Styela clava: one gene and its partners. The protein of the gene in region 2 binds, or shares a complex with, the protein of the main gene of each other region. Links are inferred from orthologs where the notes say so. Each region holds a gene or a part of one and is shown on either strand. Other genes may lie near its edges.

What was found.
Region 1: the proteins of ubiquitin-conjugating enzyme E2 G2-like (region 2) and E3 ubiquitin-protein ligase AMFR-like are in contact, whole or in part, in an NMR structure (PDB 2LXP), measured with the Homo sapiens proteins. The link is inferred for Styela clava from reciprocal best matches to the Homo sapiens genes UBE2G2 and AMFR. Residues at the interface, in NP_003334.2 of Homo sapiens: Tyr13, Leu16, Thr17, Pro20, Gly23, Ile24, Val25, Ala26, Gly27, Pro28, Met29, Asn30, Glu31, Glu38, Leu40, Met42, Glu45, Glu50, Phe51, Val53, Val159, Gln160, Leu163, Gly164, Leu165; in NP_001135.3 of Homo sapiens: Ser574, Ala575, Arg578, Gln579, Met581, Leu582, Arg585, Lys586, Leu589, Leu590, Ala593, Arg594, Arg596, Phe597, Leu598, Lys600.
Region 3: the proteins of ubiquitin-conjugating enzyme E2 G2-like (region 2) and lipid droplet-regulating VLDL assembly factor AUP1-like are in contact, whole or in part, in a crystal structure (PDB 7LEW), measured with the Homo sapiens proteins. The link is inferred for Styela clava from reciprocal best matches to the Homo sapiens genes UBE2G2 and AUP1. Residues at the interface, in NP_003334.2 of Homo sapiens: Tyr13, Thr17, Pro20, Gly23, Ile24, Val25, Ala26, Gly27, Pro28, Met29, Asn30, Glu31, Glu38, Leu40, Met42, Glu45, Glu50, Phe51, Val53, Pro55, Lys156, Val159, Gln160, Ser162, Leu163, Leu165; in NP_853553.1 of Homo sapiens: Ser379, Arg382, Gln383, Leu386, Arg389, Lys390, Leu393, Tyr394, Tyr396, Ala397, Arg398, Arg400, Phe401, Thr402.

What each region holds. Positions count from the first base shown.
Region 1 is NC_135257.1:56,049-63,452, reverse strand, and holds the start of E3 ubiquitin-protein ligase AMFR-like, read right to left. Parts: upstream 3,015-7,404; 5' UTR 2,968-3,014; coding exon 2,721-2,967; intron 1,195-2,720; coding exon 1,052-1,194; intron 3-1,051; coding exon 1-2. UniProt on the Homo sapiens protein: E3 ubiquitin-protein ligase that mediates the polyubiquitination of lysine and cysteine residues on target proteins, such as CD3D, CYP3A4, CFTR, INSIG1, SOAT2/ACAT2 and APOB for proteasomal degradation.
Region 2 is NC_135261.1:20,878,119-20,885,941, reverse strand, and holds the start of ubiquitin-conjugating enzyme E2 G2-like, read right to left. Parts: upstream 3,039-7,823; 5' UTR 2,815-3,038; coding exon 2,781-2,814; intron 1,824-2,780; coding exon 1,742-1,823; intron 936-1,741; coding exon 817-935; intron 1-816. UniProt on the Homo sapiens protein: Accepts ubiquitin from the E1 complex and catalyzes its covalent attachment to other proteins. In vitro catalyzes 'Lys-48'-linked polyubiquitination. Involved in endoplasmic reticulum-associated degradation (ERAD).
Region 3 is NC_135262.1:5,698,165-5,705,579, forward strand, and holds lipid droplet-regulating VLDL assembly factor AUP1-like, read right to left. Parts: upstream 2,497-7,415; 5' UTR 2,359-2,496; coding exon 1,279-2,358; 3' UTR 520-1,278; downstream 1-519. Other genes in the region: FACT complex subunit SPT16-like, read right to left, coding at 4,314-4,414, 5,396-5,594, 6,328-6,457, 7,357-7,415. UniProt on the Homo sapiens protein: Plays a role in the translocation of terminally misfolded proteins from the endoplasmic reticulum lumen to the cytoplasm and their degradation by the proteasome. Plays a role in lipid droplet formation. Induces lipid droplet clustering.

The DNA of each region.
Region 1 (7,404 bases), on a different chromosome or scaffold from region 2:
TCCTGTTGCCAATATAAAAATAATCAGTTAAATTTTCTATTGAACATTTTGTAATGGAAGCCATAAACTGTGACATGGACATAAACAAACTGACTAAATTATACATATCGTCGTTGTGTCGTACCTCTTTGTCTTGTGTATTTTACTTGAGTTGTATTTGTATAGCATATTTCATGCCCGTTGTCCTATTATAACGCAACAGTCCTAAACTGCTGTTATAATTGTTAGGGGTGTTGGGTAAGGTCTGGAACATGTATCCAGTCTCTGTTTTACTGTTTAATTATTATTCAGAGATTGTTACATTTTTGAGGCAAATAAACATACATACCTAATACCATGATTTTATCAATATAAAATATATTTTAATAATGACATCTTAACGTATCTTTAAAATTTTACAACAAAAATAATGTAACATCGAAAAATGGTTGTTTTCTCTCAGTAAACATTGAATTGATGGCATGAGGCAGACAGTACAGCAAACAAGCTGACTCATGCCTATTGATTTTATATAAGGGCATTAAATTAACATATTCAGAAATGAGACATGGTATGATGCAATATCAGTACAACTTTATATTATATTCATCATTATTCAGTTAGAATACATCCACCATTCTGTGTTATGTTCTCCATTTCAATTTTTAAATATTTAATTAAGTTCATAAGAATCAAAATTGCACTATTAACAAAAACAATACAATGGATATCTTTTTTTCTGAACTGTTCCAAAATATCTTTTCCTTCAATTCTATAAACCACATAAAAAGTGAAAGGCTACAGTACAAACTAATTCAAAACATAAAAATATTACTATTAATTTATCCTAGTTTAAAATAGAAATTTTACATTCACCCTTGTGGGCACTCAAAAAACAATAAAATGTTATGCGACAAAATAAAACCAGTGCATGGCACGATCAGATACAATTTTTAAGGTTTACAAGAATTTAAAAATTACATTAGTTTAGTCAATCAGATCACATTCAAACTTTTTTAGAAAGTTTTACACAGAGAAAAAAAAATGGTAATAGCCATGGAATATATCAAACCTTAATATGTTGTCTTTCTACAACTCTCAAGTTTCCAAATACAACTTTGAGAATAAATTTTGCGCCAAGTGCAAATAAACAATAAGCAGCATTGATTAACACACCAAGAGTAAGGGGCTCATCGAGCATGATTATTACAACTCCTGAAAAAAAGAAAACATTGGCAATCCAGAAATCAACTTATATAATATCTATGTTAGTTTGGCCTATCTATAGGGTCTGCTCTACCGTATCGTGCCCCATATTCTCCTCACACGAACAACCAATGAAATACAACTTTCAGAACAATTTATTTTATTTTACAACTGCAAATTTACACATCAATTCTGAGATTTGATCAAACTTGATGATACTTGAATAGATCCTATCCTATCTGGGTGAAATCATTAACACTTTGACAGGTTTACAGTAAATCAGATTAGATGTGTCCTTAGAACCAGATTTGCCCATATTGCAAATTTATATTCTCACTTGCTTTTACAAATACCTATAATGACTCATGGATCAAACTGGTCTTTTGAAGATGGTATTTCAATATATAAATATGGAGTTGAATGCCTAAAGAAGATTGTGACTAGTTCACATAACTACAGTTAAATCACACAACAATGCTAAATTTTTATAATAACAAAAGACAGTTGGATGATGAAAAGATTTATTATGTAACCGAGGATATTGGCATCCCACCAAGTTACAATCTGCTCATAATATGATCGTGTTTATCCACGACTGAAAACCTTCATAGTTCACATTAATAAAAATTGTATAAAAAAGTATTTGGCTTCACATTTTATTGACTAGACCAGGGTGGTCCAAGGTTGTTGGCTCCGGAGGCCACACAATTATTTTTGCATTGTTCGCAGGCCACAATAGTGCCAAACCACCAAAAACTTACTGAAACATACAAAAGTCTTTCTATATTTTTATTTATGGTAAGATTTCGAACTCTGTAAAACAGAAAGTGTTTCTGCAAATGTAAATGCTTCCGAACATCAAGGCCGAGGGTAATTACTAATATAGGCAGCATTTTTTGTAATTCTGTTTAGGATGGTCGCAATAAACACCCAACATGAATTATATTGTTAGACCATGACAATAACATTTAGTTATCAGGCACAGCCAACCTAGGCTAAAAGAATTGGCATTGAACTTAAGCTCCTTATGATGCTAAAATTGTTAGCATATTCCTGACCAAAAAGATAGAAGGACTGCCAAGAACATCATTCAACTTCACTAGTTGCCTCAGCTAGCCATAACATCGGACAATTCAGAGACATTGGTGGTGTAACAATATGTCAAAAGATTTTTCTGGTTAATTTTATGACGAAAAAACACTAAGTGCGATTTTTTGATTACTTCTCCGAATGCAGCATGGGCCAATATTTTTTTATGTCAGAAAATGAAATACAAAATCAAGAGTTATGCACTTGGAATGAATGGTCGACTAGAAATAACGGGTTTTTAAACAAAAAAAGTAGTAGTCAAATACAAATAAACAAGGTTTTCACAGAGAACGTTTGCTCCATGAAAAAAAAATCAATATTATAGATCTTGGTGTATGGTAAAGGATGATACAATGGACATCTACATGCAGTCGATTTTCCATTTACAAGCCAATCGTAATACAGTAATATGACAAATTAATAACTTCAAAAGCTTGGTAGCCTACCTTGAACATAAGATATACCGAACATGCCTCGTTCAGAAACAGAGGACATTTCAACATCTGGTTGTTGATGTGTATGAAACTTATCAACAGTCATTGATGGGTTTTCTGATTGTTTTGAATTCATTCTTGTGTGTTCCTTATCAGCCCAAAAAACAACTAATACAAGCAATAGAATGCTTGCTACTGTGTATAGCTGTATGCTTGGAAGCATAACAGGTATCCTTCGAAGGACAAAAGACGAAGGCATTTTACTTGTTTTTGCCTAACAAATACTTTCTGCAATTGTGGCACAAATAAAAAATTAATATTCCGGTATAGTCTACAGATAATGGGTTCCTTTAATAACCGGAACAGACCATAAATAACCGGAACTGGGAAGAATTTTTACATAAACCTACCAAAGATATCTTTCTGTCTTTCAAAGGACATTTTATATACATCTATATACGCCTACATCTAGGTGATTTTCCAGGTAAAACAGCAAACTTTGGGGGACAGTGGTAAAAACAAGTTCCTGCTGTCCTGCAATTATCGGAACGAAACCTAAATTACGATACCTAAACAGACCAAGGTTACCTTACTCTAGCCCAGTGATTCCCAAAGTGGGCGGTGGGCGAAAATGATACAGAGGGGGGCGAAAAAGTCAAAGGGGGCGATTTCACGAAACCTGATTTTGTTCGACGCATCGTGCACTTAATTCTGTACTCTGTGTGCATTCGCATGCTTGAATCACGGGGGCGATTATTACACGCCAAAGGATTACTGGACTCGTCTTCGCAGTAAGTTACGGTAGTTCGCGTATCGCTCGGCAAAATACGGCCGGAGTAAAATAATCTGCTCAGGGACGATTCACTGAATGGACCTTTCCCCGACCTTTGACCGCGAAAAATTCTTCCTGTTTTTTAAAAGTGACGATAAAGAATTTTAGCCTAGTCTATCACATATTATTTTACACTTTTTGATTACTGTATTTAAACTGAAACTCATAGGAAGACAAAGTAATCATTGACTTATATTAAATTTCCGAAAAACAACTAAAAACTAACAAATATATTTAAAAAAACGCGAAAATGAGGGTGTGTCTGAGCGGATGCGGAAGGGGGCATTGTTACGTTTATTTTTGCATCTTGCTGATTGCTGATTGGGCAATGCCACAAAGTAAACAAGGAAGGGTATGCCTGGGGAAACATCCAAACGGCGGTTTTGACGATGAATTAATTTTATTTATAATCTACGCTCGAGGAGTAAATTATATTTTTTAGACAACAGAATTTATCGTGAGCCTACTTTAGACCAGGGTTGTCAAACTCGCGGCCCGCGGGCCACATGCGGCCCCAGAGAACTTACAATGCGGCCCTCGGACGCCTAACAATAATTGTAATATTTTGTAAGTTTTTTTTTTTATCTAAATGTAATACATTTTTCGAACCTTTCAAAGTGAAATTGTTTATTGACACAGAAAACGACAATTTATTGAAAGTAGTTCTGAAAAATTAAAATAAAAATGTTTTTCAATTTGACCCAATTATGAATACACCTCAAGCTAGCAATAAAATACTTGAATAAAACACTTCAGGACTTCAGGGATTAAATGAAACGCAAAGTACATGAAGAAAATGGCATTTTTAAAGAAAAATGGGAGCTGCAATATTTCTGCATTTCTCAAAATACTAATGGAGCACATTGTTCGATTTGTCACATTTCCTCAGTACAATAAAGAATACAATATAAGTAGACATTATCAAAATATGCTCAGCAATCAATATGACAAATTTAGAGATCAACTTCGAAAATAAACTTTTCATGTGTTTGTATATTATTACAGTATAATTATACAACTACCTAGTTACTAAAAATCAATATCAATCATAACTAGAGCGGTCCTATGCCACGTAATGGTAGGAAATGTCGTGAAATATCTGGTCCGAAAAGTCAGTCATTTGTTTGTTTACGGATTTATACATGGGATGATAAACGTAATATTTTTGCATTACTGAAATTAATTGAACATTCTCAACAATCCAGATTAACCGACGATCATGTGACTTCGTTAATTAGAGTTGGGACTGTAAAATCATTTCAGCCTGATATTAGTAAGCTGGTTGCACAAAAGAGATACAAAATGTCAAGACATATGTAATGAAAAAACATTGAGTTTATTCTGTAGTATTTTTGTAAATTTTAGGTCTATATATTTAGATTCCGGTAAGTCATTTTTAGTGCATGTATTATTCTTCCCTTTACAAAACTTTGTTTAAAAATGTTTTGGATAGTTGTACATAAAAATTCATGATTTTTCGTAATTACGGTAAATTGCAATAATATAATTAATATGTAAACGTCATTTGAAATTTAGGAAGATAACAAAACTTTATTCAACTGTTTAATTGCATCACAATATATGTCACAAACTACACCCATCTAAAAATATGCTTCAAGTATACATTATCAAAATATATATATCAAAAACTGATTGCGGCCCTTTGCACAATTCCCAAAATGCAATGCGGCCCTCGGAAACCCACGAGTTTGACACCCCTGCTTTAGACTAAATTTTATTATATCCTGAAAATTCCATTGACCAGCTACTCGTTTAACGAGCCTACAATTTAATTATAATTAGACAAATGGAAACACGAAGAAAAGTTGATGCTGAGGCCTGAGGGCAGGGGTTCAATAGCGCAGTAAATATTCGAATATATCAGTATATTGCAATGCAATAGGGAAATAAAATTCATATTCTATTCGAGAGGTTCAATCACTGCTTAATTTTTGTAAAAATGTTAAAGAATATCTTTATCAAAATTTCACAAACCATGCGAAAATACTCACTTCGATGTTTGGAAGTACATATTTGTGCGCAAATTTATTTCCGAAAATGAACATTACAAAGAACAAGCAAAGAACTAGGTGATGAATTAGTGACGCCCATTTAGAAAAAGTACCAATCTTGGTGTCGTAAAGCTATCAAGCGTGATGCAGCAACAAGACAGTGTCACATTAAATGTCATTGTAATAATTTTTTAATAAGACGACTGAGTTGAATTCACGAATTGTCGCAGTTTTTGCGCACTGTTCCGTTTTTAACTTTAAAAAATAAAAGCGACCCGCAAAAGACTAGCAACTCTGAATTTTGTCCCGCGAGTGACATAAAATTTGCTGCCCCTGGGCCGTAGCCGATAGTCGGTCACGACTTCTTCCACATCCGAGTCCATGAATCCAAAAACAAATGGCTGATTAATTCTATGAACTGGAGATCGTGGTAGACTGAGGAATCGGGGATGAATTTTACCGAAGTATTTTGGTACAGGTCAAAAGGCTGTCTTGGCTGTAGGAATGAATTAGATGTACGATAATCATCATTATAAATTTGGGAAAATTAACTTTGTTTTCATTATTTTGTGGAAATGGGGTGAATTTAGGGAGTGAAATGCTATAATGCAAGTACCGTACACGGCGGTTTTTATGGAGGTAGAACCCTGAATTCTTTCATTTCTGACCTATTATATGGTGAAAAGGGGGTTTTCAACCGTGCTACTATTGCTATCAAAACAACGAAATCGCCTTTTCATCAGTAAACGGGTTAATTTTAGATATAATAAATAACTTGTTGAAGAACACCAAGCTCATCCATCTAATTAAAAAACACTATAAACTATGATTTGCCTTCCTTTTTGGTCTGTAATATATTCGTTTCAGACTTTACATTTTTTGTAGTGCAGGGGGGGCGATGAAGTTGTATAAACGGCTGAGGGACAACTCAACTACACGGACAACTCACCAGAGACAACTCGACTACCTACTGACCTAGAGGCCTGGTGAGTTGTCAGTCTTTTGGCATTTTCTACGGTGGTGTTTTAGGTCTATAGCAGGGGTCACCAAACTTTTTTGAACGCGGGCCGGGTATGACTCAAACTGTGTTGAAACGGGCCGGACAAATATTTTTGTCAAAAAGAATGAAATTGGACCAGTGCGCAAGGGATTACAGTACTGTTAGCGCAAAATGCACATTCGACGTTCATTTTAGCACGAAGACGTAAACAGTTTCGGCGAGTGCATCTTTCGCAGAAAACGTTGCCTCCCGGTAGAAAATTTTAGCCCATTTTGTCACAGCTATTTCTTAGACTAATTTTTCATTACTACTATTAAAACTACAACTCCTAAAGAGGCAAATGATGATTGACTTATTTGATTCATACGGTACTTAAATTTCCCAAACACAACCAGAAACTAACAAATAGCATTCAGAATCGCAAAAAATGAAGTATTTTTTACAACCACGACTGAAAATCTGTCAGGGTGACCAAAGTGTCTGAGCGGATGCGAAAAGGCCCATTATTACGTCATTTTTTCTGCATCTTGCTGATTGGCCAATGTTACGAAATAAACAAGGAAGACGATGCTCGAGAAAATTTTTCTTGGAAAAATATTTGGCCACTTTTGTGTGTTATTGCGGGCCGGATAAAATGACGACGCGGGCCGGATCCGGCCCGCGGGCCGTAGTTTGGTGACCCCTGGTCTATAGAAACGCGTTTTTGATATTTTTAGTCCTCAAATGTTGAGAAAAATACATAAATATGCTCTAGAAAGCATTTTTATTTGTATAAGTGGCTTATTTCGATCATGTTGTATGAATACAAATACAGTCTACAGACGAAATTGGAGTAGCGGTACCGGTAACGTT
Region 2 (7,823 bases):
GCTTCCAATTATTAACAAACAAATTATGACGTGATTTAAAAAAACTTCTAGTTTTGTACACGGCTGGATAGCTGGAATAAAATCACAGTTGCTCCGCTCTGCAGTTTTGTTTTTATAATCTCAGCCGGGCTTCGACTCCATACCTAATGAGGTTTTTAACCAGTGTGACCACTATCATGAAATATTTGCCACAATGCAGTTTCGTGGAAGCTGGACTCAAAACTATGATATACGGGTTTCAAAATCAAAGTGTTAAATATATAAATTGACAACTTGAAACTCTCAAATCAATATTGTACGTTGAAATTTATAACAATTCAAGAGCTGAAAAGGATAGTTTTTATTATTTGTATCAGAAAATTATGAACGTTCAAAATAATTAGATCGTTAGGAGCTGGTATCCACTAAATCCATTTCTGGTAGCTCCAGCTCCATCTAACATGTTAGCTTGGCTCCAGCCCGACCAAAATGTCAAAGCCCCAAGCTACAGGCTCCGAATCAAGCTCACAGCCCTAGTTCTATCACACAAAAAATTGATTTCATCATACAAAATAATTTTCAAAGGACCAAAATATGTATAGATGCAAAAGGACTACACCACTACACAATTACCAGATCCAGAGGTAACTAAGTTTTATGATCAATAGAATACCAACCATTCTCTGCTATATAACATTTGCATGTGTAGCCTTGCTGTAAAATTCATAGTGTTATGTTATTCATAATAAGGTAATCTGGATGTCTAAATTGAGAAAGTGAATTAAATATATATAAATTGCACTTAATGATTATTAAACTGATATATCAAAATCTTACTGTTTGGATGAAACATATCACATGTAAATCGCATTGTAGGAGGACTAAGAGGATAATCTGATGGAAAAGTCATCACAGCTGAAAAAACTCCACCTTCGAATGGTGTGCCTATTGGTCCCCTATAAAAAAAATAAAGCTTAGTCATACTCTGGTGGTATTATTTTAACTCGTAGCTGAAGTGTTAGCAATGAGTTGGTTTCATTGCATTGTTCTGCATTAGGAAAATTGTCAGACCGATTATGCCATGTTGCGCTTTTTCAAGAAGTGTACTCTAAGAAGAAGTCTTCCGGAGATATGGGCAGTCGCTTCCAAACATGGCAAAATCAGTCAAAAACCAAAAATGAAGGGCTCAAAGAATAAATACAGAAAGTTATGTTGCATTTCTATTTATGGCGAAGTTGGCTAAACAAAAAATTGTTGGACTGAATACAATTTTTTGAACATTTAAATTGGGATTACAAGTTCAGTCAAATTCAAATTGGCAATAAATATATACAACTTTCATTTTGGTTTGTCCATTTAGGAATCTAAGATAAATTCATATCAAGTGATTTAGTGAAGTCGAAATTTTCAATTTATATAGAATGTATTTGTTTTCACATGATGTATGATTTGAGATCATGGCATAAATGGAGATTTCTAATGAGATATTCAACCAATTTAGAGAATTAAGTTATCAGAAAATCTAAGAATAAATAACAAGAGTAATTTTGAGTATATTAGTTTCTGTATGTTCATAAAAAAACATACTTTGACTTCGAGAAATACTTAAGCTGAACCTATGTTTTAAAACTATGGGTTAAAGTTTCAATAACTTTCTCTTAGTTGGGATGTTCCTGCTACAAGAATAAAAGTATTTTGAAGCATAGTATTTTATACGCTAACCAAAGTACTGAACAGACTGAATATAAAAATGTATACGTACATTATACAAGCATCCCATTCAAAATAGTTGCTTTCTTCCTTTGGCCCAGCAACAATTCCTTCCGGTGCTTGTGTCGCCAACTCTAAAAATGTATATATGCATACATGAAAGTATAAACTTTCAAATATATTTCAAAGCAAGAATGTATAAGTAAGTATATTTTGATTTCCCCGCCAAAAAAAATCATACACAAAACACAAACAATGAACACACAGAAGATCGGGAAAATCGGGGAAACTGGCAAAACCTTTATAAAGGTTCAATACATGTAAATATACATGCGCCAGTTTACTCACATTCAACACACAAACATATATGCAAAATAAAAATGATAAGACACGAATGGGTATCGTTCGGGTTTCAAACATAACATAAACACTCGGTGGGTCCCAATTAATAAATACACTTTGATAAATACACTTTGATAGGATGGAATGCAAGGCTATGGTATGTGTATCACAACAGTGCTTTTCCTACAAAAATATGGAATATACAACACTCGTTGACGTAAAATGGTGATGCTGTAGTTCAATTCCATTGCAAAAATAACACAGTGACAAAAAATTGTTACTGAAAAAAAATTAGCTCTGTAAATAGATTGCATGTTTCATAACACTGTAACAGTCTATGCACAAACATGGATCGGGATATCGGTTTTTTTTGTCGTATAATGCTGTAATGTCAGAATCTGCACAATTTCAACAAATGGACCGGTTCCGGGTACCGGTATGGCCGTACGTATTTACTGGCACCGCAATGCAGTTCAAAATAAAAAATCATTCAATATTCATCTATTGAATTTCACCAATTTTGTCACTATAGGTACAGTGATTTAACATCTAACTTAATGGAAACTGGGATGATATTACTATAATAATGCAAAGTTGACGCCTCTCCAAGCCATGTACTCAGGTTGAGAAGCATATGCGGCAGTACATACAGTACCGTATTTGTGCAATAACGTACCAGTACCGATATGGTACCGGTACCGTACCGCTACCGGTACTAAATATGAGATTGGAGTTACTTCAAAACTTACGTTTGTATTCAGCCATAAGTCGTTTTGCTGCCATCTTGAAATTTTAGTGTGACCCTTATCTTCGAAAAAATATCTTGTTCAGAACACTAAATAATTAAAACTTGAGTAGTCTACGAGTATCCTATCCCAACTCACTGAAACTGCAATCGATAGATCTGTAGATCAAGAAATAAAGGCGTAGCACGCGTACCAGTATCGGTACTGAAGTGACGGAGTGGAGGTGCAGGCACTGTATAAATTTGACGGGAAGCTATACGACGCGGTGCCTAAAATGTGACACCTCAGTGACACCAATGACATATAACAACATGATGCGCAACTCCGGCATTTTTGTCCGAAGATCGTATTCGATAGCACGCTCCAATGCACATACTTGTCGAGACGAAAACGAGCGGATGTGTGCTGCTTTCAAGGCGTAGCACGAATGGTGTTCGTGCCTGCTTTGACAGTTGTTGTCGATTTTAATGATATTTTTGAAAGTAAGGTAAAAAGAAATCGGTAAAAGGTAAGGTGAATACTATTGTTGTATATCACACCCGGGCATCGCACTGTTAAGTACATGTGGGAAAGCCAGCCTTTGTCAAATACTACGAAGTTATTAATTCAGTACGGTACGTAGTTGCCCATTTGCCGAAATTACATATTTACTTACTCCTTATGGTTTCAAATAGTTCATGCACCTCCAGTTAGATTTTTTTAATCAGTGAGGATATATACTCATTGTTGATTGCTGCTCATTGTAACATACTATTACGCATTCACTTTTATTTGCGTATTGAATCAAAGTGTTAACAAGTTCACCTAACATTTCACTCATACCGGTCTATATTGTATAGTCTGATTTCTCAAGTATTTGGAGCCACGAATGCTTGTAATTTTCTGACTAAACCCTTTTATTAGTTGGTTTATTTTCCAAAATTCAGTAAAATATTTTTTAAATAAAACATGAGATATTGGATTTATTAGCTTTTCCATTCTGAATCATATAGACTGCTTTATTTATTCTTAACAAAAATTAATAAATCTCCTCTCTTTCTTCAGATGTGAAAGTTGTGGACAAACCTGTCTAAGCATTGTGAGACTCTTGCAGCACAAGAGGCAATAGCAGAAATAGTAAGTATATCAATCAAGAAATTAAGCCGACATAAAGCAAAACTTTCAACTATTCGTCTAATCTCAATTTCCTATTATTTATTCACAGGACAACTATAGCAGACGGGGAGATATCAGAAGTCTGGCGACATATCAGTGACAGTGTGATTCCAAGAAATATAATGCAATTGAAAATTGCAATAGAAAAACAACCTATGGAGGCATCCAAAGACATTTGACCCTCCGGTAGAGTTGTGTATGGCCCCCACATCCTGCAGGGCTTGAGGAAAATAACTAAAAATTCCAAAGCGTAAGATTGCATAAGCGGTCTTATTTGTAAAAAGGCACAAAACACGCCAGACATACTTAAAACAGCTTTGGAAATGAGGATTACGGGTACCTCACTGCACCTGTGTTATATTTGGTTCATCAACTTTTGGTAGTACTATAGAAGAAATTCCGGAAGGGGTATAATCATCATTCATGATAAAATACTATCATATATTTTTTGAACAACTTCAATCTAGACCAGGGATCTCAAACTCGCGGCCCCAGAGAACTTCCAGTGCGGCCCTCGAACGCTTAACAATAATTGTAATAGTATTTTGGAAGTTTTTTTTTTATCTAAATGTAATAGATTTTTCAAACCTTCTAAAGTGAAATTGATTATTCACACAGAAAACAATTTACTGAAAGTAGTTTTGGAATATTAATTTTTTTTGTCCACATTTTGACCCAATTAAGAATACACATCAAGCTAGCAAAAGAATACTTGAATAAAACACTTGAGTAATTAAATTAAACGCAAAGTACACGAAGAAGGTGGCATTTTCGAAGAAAATGGGAGTTGTAACATTTCTGCTCTTCACAAAATTCTGAAGCACATTGTTTAATTTGTCATATTTCCATCAATACAATCAAAAAACACAATAAGCTCAGCAGTCAATATGACAAATTCGAAGACCAACTTCGAACAGAAAATTTCCATGTGTTTGTATATTAATATAATTATACAACGACTTAGTTACTAAAAATCAATATCAATAATAATTCAAGCAATCCTATGCCACGCAAGGTAGTGCGAAATGTCTTGTCGAAAAAATCTGTCATTTGTTTTTTTACTGATCTATACATGAAATGATAAAAGTAACTTTTTTGCATTACTGGAATTAATTAAACATTCGTAAAGAACCAGATAAACCCATGATCATGTGGCCTCGTTAGTTAGAGTTGGTACTATAAAATCATTTCAGACTGGCCTTAGTATGCTGGTGACACAAAAAAGATGCCAAACGCCAGGACGAATGTAATTATTAAAACATTGAGTTTATACTGTAGTATTTTTGTTAATTTTAGGTTCATATATTTAGATTAAGTTATTTTTAGTGTATGTATTATTCTTTACTTATTCAAAGCTTGTTCAAAAATGATTTTGATGGTTGTACATAGAATTTTACAATTTTTTATAATAAATACTGTAACTTGCAAATGTTGCAATAATAGTGGAATGCAAATATTAATATGTAATTGCATTTGAAATTGAAGAAAATAATAAAACTTAATCCAACTGTTTAGTTGCATCACAATATATGAGCTATGTTCTATGAACATTTGTTCTTTTCTTTGTCTTGAACTTTCCATACTCCACAGCCCCTATTAATTTTTTTTAATTTTAATTACCATGTGATGGTCATACATATCTTTAACTTGTATTTTCTGTCATGATGTATTATCTCAATGTGCCAAACTATTAATTTGTGTGCATATTTTGCTTCCAGATGACATAAATGTATTGTCATGTTTATTACCTCAGCTTGGAGTATTGACAAGAAAAAGGTGCCAGTAAATTAGGTAAAAAAATTTTCAACTCATTGTTATAATCAGAATTCACAATCAATAGGAATTATAAACAGCCAACAATCAGTGAGAATTATATGCGAAATCCCTCAGAATAAATTTGTCTAAAATCGGAGGAAGGCAAAAAATATAGGTAGTTTCCATTCACACAAGCATTTCAAGAAGACTTGCTCGAGCCAAACTAAATGAGCATCGTCAGGTGATCGGTAAGGCTGCAAGTTGAATTCAGCCCTGCAACCTCCTGCATAGAAGATAATATTAATTAGTGGGCTATGAGCTAAATTCCTAAATTTAAACAAACCTATCTAAGATGCATTATGTACCAGCAATGTTACCTACGATTAACTGAATATGTAATATGTCTAATAAATTCACCTACAAAAGCAAGTTCGATAGGTGCAAACTTTGTGTTATGGAATTGTATCGCAGCACAGTTTTGTATGACACCCTCTTTAAATGAAATTTCAATGATTAAGCGCAAACATTAAAATTACTAACTTTGAACTTTGTCATTATCTGCAAAATGTTCCACACAAATCTTTCCGCTATCGCGTTTGTAATCTTCTCTGATAAAAAAAAAAAGTCTATGATGTCCAGAATTGCTCTTTACAGCTTGCCTGTTATTCCAGCTTTCCAAGTAAGCAAAACTTCTTAGATATAGAGATTATTTTGTTTCGTTACAGGCGCAAAAAGGCAGGTACTACACGTAAAAAAGACGCCGAGTAGCAAAAGCGAGCGGAAAACGGACGCGAAAGGCGACGAGAAATATGTGCATTGGAGCGTATCATGAAATACAATGTTTTGCCTGTAGTCTTATGGAGTGACGTCAGAGTTGCCTATCATGTTGTTTAATGTCATTGGTGACACTGACAGAAGAGGGGTAGGAAACAGTTCGAATGGGGCTCAGTGCGCAATTTGGGATGAGTCACGGACTAGAGATATTGCATAACCATAATGACATAACAACATGTTGTCAGGTAGCACTTTAAATGCGGATTATGGCATCACTAGATTTTTTTTTTTGATGAATTTAGGATAGGATTTACATATTTATCCCGTGGCAGAGGAAAGCCGATAAGACGGCTTAATCATATGGCAAACCACGGCCTCTCGTCCGGTTACCAGTCCAGGTCCGGTATGGGATTAGTTAGCCAGTTATTTGTTTTCGGAAGCATGAACTTGATGGTGGAGGAAGCCGTAAACGACCAGCGGTTACGTGAACCACCCTACGGCGGCGAGGAGTCCAGCAATCCTCTCGCGCATGATCATCCCCGCATGGAATTCGAACCTGCGATCTCCGGAAGGGTAGCCTAATCAGAGATGCGGTGGCGAGCGTATTCCTAACGCTTAGCACGATGCGTCATTCCGCCGAGCCGGATAGAGGTTGGTAGCTGAAACGTCTCGTTGCGAGCAATCCCGACTGTGCGTAAGGCGCTGCTCATTTCTCTCTCGAGTCCATTCATATTTTTTATTTAAACATTTCTCCTTTGACTTACTCTCTCTATTGGATTTACTTTCCTGAATTTCCGTCTGAATGTATTAAAATCTAGTTAAAGCGTAAATATATACACCTACCTGACTTGAAGTTTGATGACATTAGAGAAAATCTCGATGGATTCGTAGGGAATCAAAGTAGTAGAAACTCCACTTACAAATTGGTTCGTCCTGGAAGTAGTTTCGTGATCAAAATAATTCGTAAGTAGGAATGCATAATACCCTATAGATGCCTCAATTCGTTCGCCCCCTCCCCCCCCCCCCCCCACCCATCAAAAAAATCGGAAATCATATTTGTATAAAATATAAATAAATGTTAAAACCTCTAACAAATACATGTTATAATAGATTAATGCATAATAAATTGAAAAGGCACACATGGAAAAAAGAAAGAACGACCAAAATAACGACTAAAAACTACGAACGGTAGCGTTGGCCGCCTAGGCTGGGCAAAGCGAAGATCGTGGTGAGTGGGAGGACGACAATCGCAGAAGGCGGCAAGCGGCTGATAGCTGAGGGGAAATGTGTTGTGCAAAAATGAATACACACACTAAATTCAAAAAAAAAAAAAAAATTCCCTGAATTTCGCTAGCAACTGAA
Region 3 (7,415 bases), on a different chromosome or scaffold from region 2:
CGCGGTCGCCGCAGGTTTTGTTATACAAACAAGATAATAGCTGATAGGGCTATTATTGTCGGACAAACAGTGTCAAAAAAAAAAATTCAAAAATTGTCATGACACTCGAATGGCTTTGATTTTCATCACTACATAGGTACCCAGTTCCTTATCCTCATATGAAGTAACCAATTTCTTTTCTGAAACGTTTTTAATTGAGTTGTTAATTGACTTCCTCGCAAGCCTCACAGCGTTTAACTAACGTCATGAAGCCAATAAAATGCTTTATTTAGATGTTTTCAAACATTATACTAGACCGAATTGACAGTCTTTAATTGGAAAATAAAATAGCATACCTCACGGAAAACTCAACGAAAATATTATTTAGTTGTATATATATTGAATCAGATCTATTTCCTAGTTAGATGTCTTATTTTTCCCCAATTGAAAACAAAAAAGGCCTAAGACAGATACCTGAAAACAGAAGTCCCATCAATGAGACTATGACTACCGAATAAGTCACAGCAAAAACACACAACATAAGCATATAAACTTTCAATTATATTTCACAAAGCAACAAGTGTTATAAATTTACTCTTAAATAACTTTGAAAACACCAACACAACTTCAGTCATAGAGTTGCATATTTGGTGGCCAGTGTCCGAGTCAAATATGTGTAGTTGTGCAAGAGAATATTCAGCATGACATATTGTCAAGTTTTTCAGTGGTATTATAGTCTGGTATGTCATTTCAAACTGCACAAATCAGGAGTAAGAATTGTAACCAGTTTTAGAGTACTGAAGAATTAACAAGTGGAGCAAAATTATGGCTTGATCGATGTTTGAAAAGATTCTTATGGCCACCACATGCATATAAGAAATCAAGACAAACCAAAAAACACACAAGCCACCCGCTCTGTGGCGCTCTGTTTTTACAGCTAATGCACATCTCATTGAAAATTAGGTCTTCGATGTATTCAGATTGCACTGAAATTCTATAAAACAGCGAGTATAAAAATATTTAGCAATACAGCTTGTTCTGCTATTCCAAATTCATGGCAGTAATGTAGTCTAAAATTCAGGTTTTAATTTCAATTATTTTACATGCCAAACTTTTCAAATCTCATTAATAGACAATAGACATTTTTAATAAATAGTACATAGAAATTCAAATTCTGGATATTTTTAAATATTGGTCTGTTCAGTTCGGCATCCATAACGGAAACGAAGATTCCAAGTTTCTCCAATGATTTTGACAGAAAATCCAACATTGCACATGGATGACAATACTTGATAAGCGTTACAATTCATGCTTTTCCTTGTACCTTTTTCTCGCCATCTCATACATTTCAGCTTTCCTTTTTTCCAGCAATGACTGTGGTGATGGCTGTTTCACTTTTGGTTGTTTCTTTGGCTTCGGTTTAATAGGTGAAAATTTAACAATACCTTCAAATATATTTGTCAATGTCACATCAATAGAATTAGTTTTGGCTAAATCATTCAAAATGACATTTCGTGGAACATGCGGTACAATCTCTTGCACTTTACTGGCCATATGGAGAAGTTTTTGACTCGCATTGGATATTGCCCTTTTTTGAGCTTCTCTTTGTCGCCTCAAGTTTTCAAAATATTTATTTTTGTCCTGACAAGAGATTGTTAAAACTGGAACCCTCAACATGTTTGATATTTGTGTCATTGTTGAATTTAAAAAATCATTTTCACTCATATTGTCATCTCTTTTAACGACTGTTTCTGACAGTTGAATTGTATATGAGGTTACAGGTGTAAAAAGCATCCAAAACATATCACCAATCAAAGTACTATGTGCAGTGGCAGTAGAAATTGGCAGGATTCTATATGTTGAGATTGCACCAACTTGAACACAGTTTGTTCTTTTGAAGTAAGAAGTTTCAAACTTTAATATTCCAGCACCAGTAGTTGGACAACCTTCTGGGAAAATGACAATCGGTAATGTCTTACCCGCAACAATATTTTTAAAATTTTCCAATCGTAGTATTTTTCGCATAAATGGCCCCAAGTTCCACTTGTTCTCACTTACAACATTAAGTCCATGGCTGAATATAAATCCATCAATGTTTGACTTTTGATTTGATATTAAAACGTTTGCACATATTGCTCCATTCACGCTAACTTTAACACCGAGTATAACCATATATATCCAACTTATATTCTTGAATACAGGATTGTTTTCTTTCATAATTAATTTCAATAACTGCCTTGCGATAACAAAGTTCAATAGCAGGCATATTCTCAGAAGGAAGAGCAATATTCCAATGGGAAGATATGCAAAAACAAGTACACTTGACTGAATGTTCGGAATCCGATCAGTCGAAAACATTTTTTGAATTTCTCTATCCATTTTTCTCTTCTTAATTATATATGGAAGTTGCAAAACTATTAATTACAATAAATTCAAGAATATAATCTGAAAATATAAATTTCAACGCAATTGAAGGCAGTAAATAAAATGAAAAAATACGAAATACAGCCTTGTCTGCTTGTATGGATCCCCCGCATTAGAAAGTCTACCCATCTGTCCTACAGCAATAGTTCACAAAAAATGAGATATTCTGAGTGTACTGTATCCTTTTATCCTATCCAAACTTTATAAACAGACAGGGCAAAAGGTCCGGAAAATTGACAAGTTTCAAAAGAGATTTAAACATCAAGTACTACAGGTCTTTGATGCATTTTGTAGACTATTCATTTTGATCTCCAATAAAAGCACGGAGCTGCGATATACCGTACAGAACACAATGCTTTAAAATATTATCTTAAAGTTTGCCAAACCATAAATACCTAATCATACCGGTACCGTACTGTATTGAGTTCTTTTGCGTAAAGGTCACTGTAGTAGCTCTGACATCTGAACAACGTTATGCCATCAGAGTATGAAATTTCATATACAACTACAGGCTAGGCAGGAATGCCAGTTACGGCTACAGCCAACAGCTTCCCGGTCTCTCATAAATATCGCTTATTGATTCTTAGCGCAGTCACGTGACTACGCGGCTGGCGATAGGACTTGTCAATGTGAAATAGTGTCCGCAAATATTTTTGCCCGACTGGATGATTTACCCACCAACCAACTGAACGGACATGTCTCACTATAGAAAAGTATATGCTGTATTAACAAATCAGTTACTGTAGTATGCTAGCCCGTATGTGTACAAATACACGCAAATTCGGAAAACTGACTCGGGTTCTGGTGTTTTAATCGAACAGATGTTTCCAGCACCTGCATAAGTTCACACACACACTACCATTTTTCATGCATGGAAAACGTTATAAAATTGACGATCGGTTGATTTCCTTGTTATAGACTCTGTATGATATTTTACCATATATCGACAACTGTAACCCTAAAGTGACCAACACAACCAAACTACTATTAATTGAAATATTGTATGCATTTACTACAGTTGGTGTCAATGATGTATATTTAATTTGCATGCGAGGTAAAATGCTTTCTCAAATTCAGCGCTGCTGTCGGTTGTCACAGCAAGTGAGATTCGCCCAACTGTGCCCGGGCAACCACGGCGTGGCCACAGCTTACTCCATCATCCATATACACGGAAATTGGTGAACGGTTACCAGATATGGTTCGCCACCACCTACCTTAGATTTTCCATGACAAATATGTATATTCATTTCAGTGGTGATACGGCAAAAACGTTAGGAAGATTTATTTGTATTGATTCTATCCTACTGTTCCGCTAAAAATCCCCCTTAAAATCTTAACCACATCAAGAAAATTGCAAAATACAAAACTAGTTATTACGATGTTCAGCAAATGGTATCAAACAAGTAGAGACCACAGATAATATTGAGAATATTCTTGTTGGAACATAAACACTAACAACTGCTATAGGCCGAGAAGAAAAAGACCAGAAATTTAAAGAACCAATGGCAAATCTAATCAAAGTTTTGACATGTACGGACTCGGAAAAGGAACATATTTTGGCAGCATGATAAGAACAACTTATTAAAAGAAGAAACACAGACTAGAAATGATTAGCTATGTGGAGAGAAAGATAAGCAGACCCTTTTAGCAAAGATAGACACAAGTTACCATAAGTATATTACCACTTAGTTACTTTGAGAGTGCGTGACAGTTATTTTAACATGTTGGTATGAGCAGTCTATTATGGCAGTCAAGTTCGTAACTATTATACAAAACACAAAAATATTTACAAAAGCGAAACTCTGAGGTACAAAAAATTTCCTAGTGTTGAAAAATACAAGCACAGAATTTCACTCTCGCTAATGTAGCGAACACCAACATCTTCAGCATTGATTGGCTGAAACTAATTTTTATTTTCGCTTCTTGTGTGATTTTCGACTTCCACTATGATCCCTCTTTCTTTTTTTCGAAGAACTTGTGACTACCTCCTCTTCATACTGTCCTCGATCAGCTGTGACAAAAGCATGATGCATTTATGTTATCATTATGAACCAGAAAATATCAATATTGTATCAAACCAGATGCCCTATATGGCAGAATACCTTGGTCGGTGACCGTACATTTGAACCCATGTACATTTGAACCTATGCGTATATCCACGGGTTCAATCTATATGCGGGTGCTAAAACCCATGGGTTAGGGTTAGTATGGGTTTAACTATCCGTGAAACAAAAAAAATTCCATAGGTGCAATAGCATACAGGTGCAATTGTCATGGGTTCAAATGTACGTGGGTTCAAATGTAATGGAACCACCTTGGTCTTAAGAAGGTGATCACCCTTTTTTAGTTTGAGGTTTAAAATTTCGTAGTTATAATTGAAACAAGAAAGCGATGCCTCAATAGATGGACACAAAGGCCAAAAGAAAGTGGTACGGTTATGCAGTCAGTCACAGTAGACTACAGGTACCACAGTGTTCATGACCCTCGCCTGACCACCAGACAAAACAGAAGACAACAGTCACGATGTCATAAAAAACATAACCCCATCAAAAAATAAATGAAACAGCAAAATTTTAAATGAAATATCAGATCTCATGGGAAATTTAAGCACAAAAGTAATAGCCTTCTAGCGACAACAACCATCTTTAATCACTAAAACACTCTAAATTTCAAAGCAATTGGTCCAGTAATAGAAGCGAAAAATCACAAAAAGATAAAGAAAAATACTAACAACAACCTAATAACAAAACGATTCCTAAATACACTTTGTGTTCAATAAGATTACTGATTGAATCATTGTTAATTGATAGAGATTGAATATTATGGTAATTCAAATGGTGCATATGTTTTTGACTGACCATCAGATGTTGTTCACCCTAAATCACATTTTCCAAATAAAGTATTCCACAATTTATTCCAATGTCAAATTAACCCCACACAATATCTATAAGATAGTAGAACAAAAATACAGCATCAATGATTAAGTTCTTACCCCGTTTTGCTTCCTCTTCTAATTCATCCCAGTCTTTCCCGCTTTCTTCTCCACTTCCTAAAGATTCTTCATCAAAGGATGATTCTGCCTCACTTGAATAATCCTCATCACTATCTTCATCTGTCTCGGATCCTTCCGCTTCAGAGCCATCCTCTGGAACAAACTCTTCTTCTTCTTCAGAATCATCTCCAGCATCCTCCTGGTTTGAAACAAAGAATTTCAAGGTTTAAATACTCTGCCTTAAATTCTTCTATCATCAACCTTATGGATTTGCAAACATTAATGATTTATCCCAGAGTTTATCCAACCCGACCTTTCCATGAGGGCCACAAAGCGAATATTGGGGGTGATTTTTCTAGGTGCCATAGGACCAAGGTTTTATACTCTAAATTCTCTCATTTCAAATCTTCTTTCATCCAAGTCAATGTATCTGCAGCCATTATTGAGTCAGCTTGAGTTTTTTTTCAAACTGGGCTTCTTTCTCCGAAGGGCCACAGAGGAGGTTTCTTGGGGCCATGAGTGAAGAATGTCACTAGGTGCTATTTCAGATTAGTGTTGAGAGACCATGAAGCATAAAAGTATAATAACCACTAGATATCTACCATATCCCTTTTCCGAAATATAAAAAATACGTTAACGTTACGCCAGGCGGCGATTTGCTAAGTGCGCCCCGAAAATGTCCAGAATTGGGTTAAACATAACTTGAACATTGAATATTTAATATATTGTACTTGTTTTTATTGTTTCTTACTTTAAATGTGTATGTGAATCAATAAATTAAATTTACCTTTTTATGTCGTTTACTCACTGTTACGACCACAAAGTAAAATTTTATTTAAAGGCAGCAATTTTTTTTCATGTAAGTGCGCCGAACGAATGACAAGTTTGGGAACCGCTGTGTTAAGCAATGGATTATCGTAGAATCAACTTACGTCACTCTCAGGTTCAAGGAAGCTCCATCCACCCTGATCAAAGAAAGCTTCGGGATCATCAACAATTGTCTTCAATATTTTTGCCCAGTTCAAAGACTGTACTCCGTCAGTGTAACGAATGTCACATGAGCTAGCAAAAATGAAAAGTTTGATCAGACAAAACAATTCCAATCTTCCTAGGCACCATAATGTTCTTCGCCAGATCTGGCCATATAATTTGTCTCAAATCAAACTAATATTTGCATAAATTATTGCATGAAAAATAGTAAATTTGAGAATCGGACCTTTTGATAATTATTAATTTCTATAATTAATTTCTTCACAAAACCAGAAACTATTCTTGTGACACGAAATCTCATTTTCAATTAGCTTACGAGAGCAAAACATAAGAACAGAGTTCACATCCTGCTTTGAATGTGATAAAGATGTTTCTACACCTAATGTACACAGACTCAACTATGATAAATAATTTCCCAATCAAAATACATATTTTGTGCTACTGTTGCATAATAACTAAACTACGAGTTATTTGACGGGTGAGTTTTATTTAAGGGGGATGAGGAAAGATATGGACTCGAATCGATTCGGACAGTGGTTTTCAAAGGTGGGACACGTCAAGGCGGGCGTAGACAATTTTCTGAGAGGGCGTGGAGCTAATTAAAAATAAAAATATTTGTTAGTTTTGATCTTGTCTGGCTTATTTTGGATATTTAAATTTCAAAACTTTCATCTATTTCATTATTTACGTTCCATCCTCGTATTTTCAACGTGTTTTTTGAATAAAATATACTTTCACCTTACTATCCGTTATTTGTAGCCTATTGTTAGCCAGTTTTTTTGAGGTGGGGCACGAAACTTGACAAATTATAAAAATGGGCCGCGTGACTTTGAGATCCACTGGTCTGGAAGTACGGTCGAGTACAGATAAAAGTATCTGCAAACTCGGAGATATTTCTAAAGCCTAAATCGTGTTCTTTCAGATTGGTATGTAAGAATTCGCAACATCGCTAACATTTATTCACGACTTACTTTAGCCATTCTCTGATTGGATCAAGCGATTGCATTGGTATGGAATTGATGACTTCTAC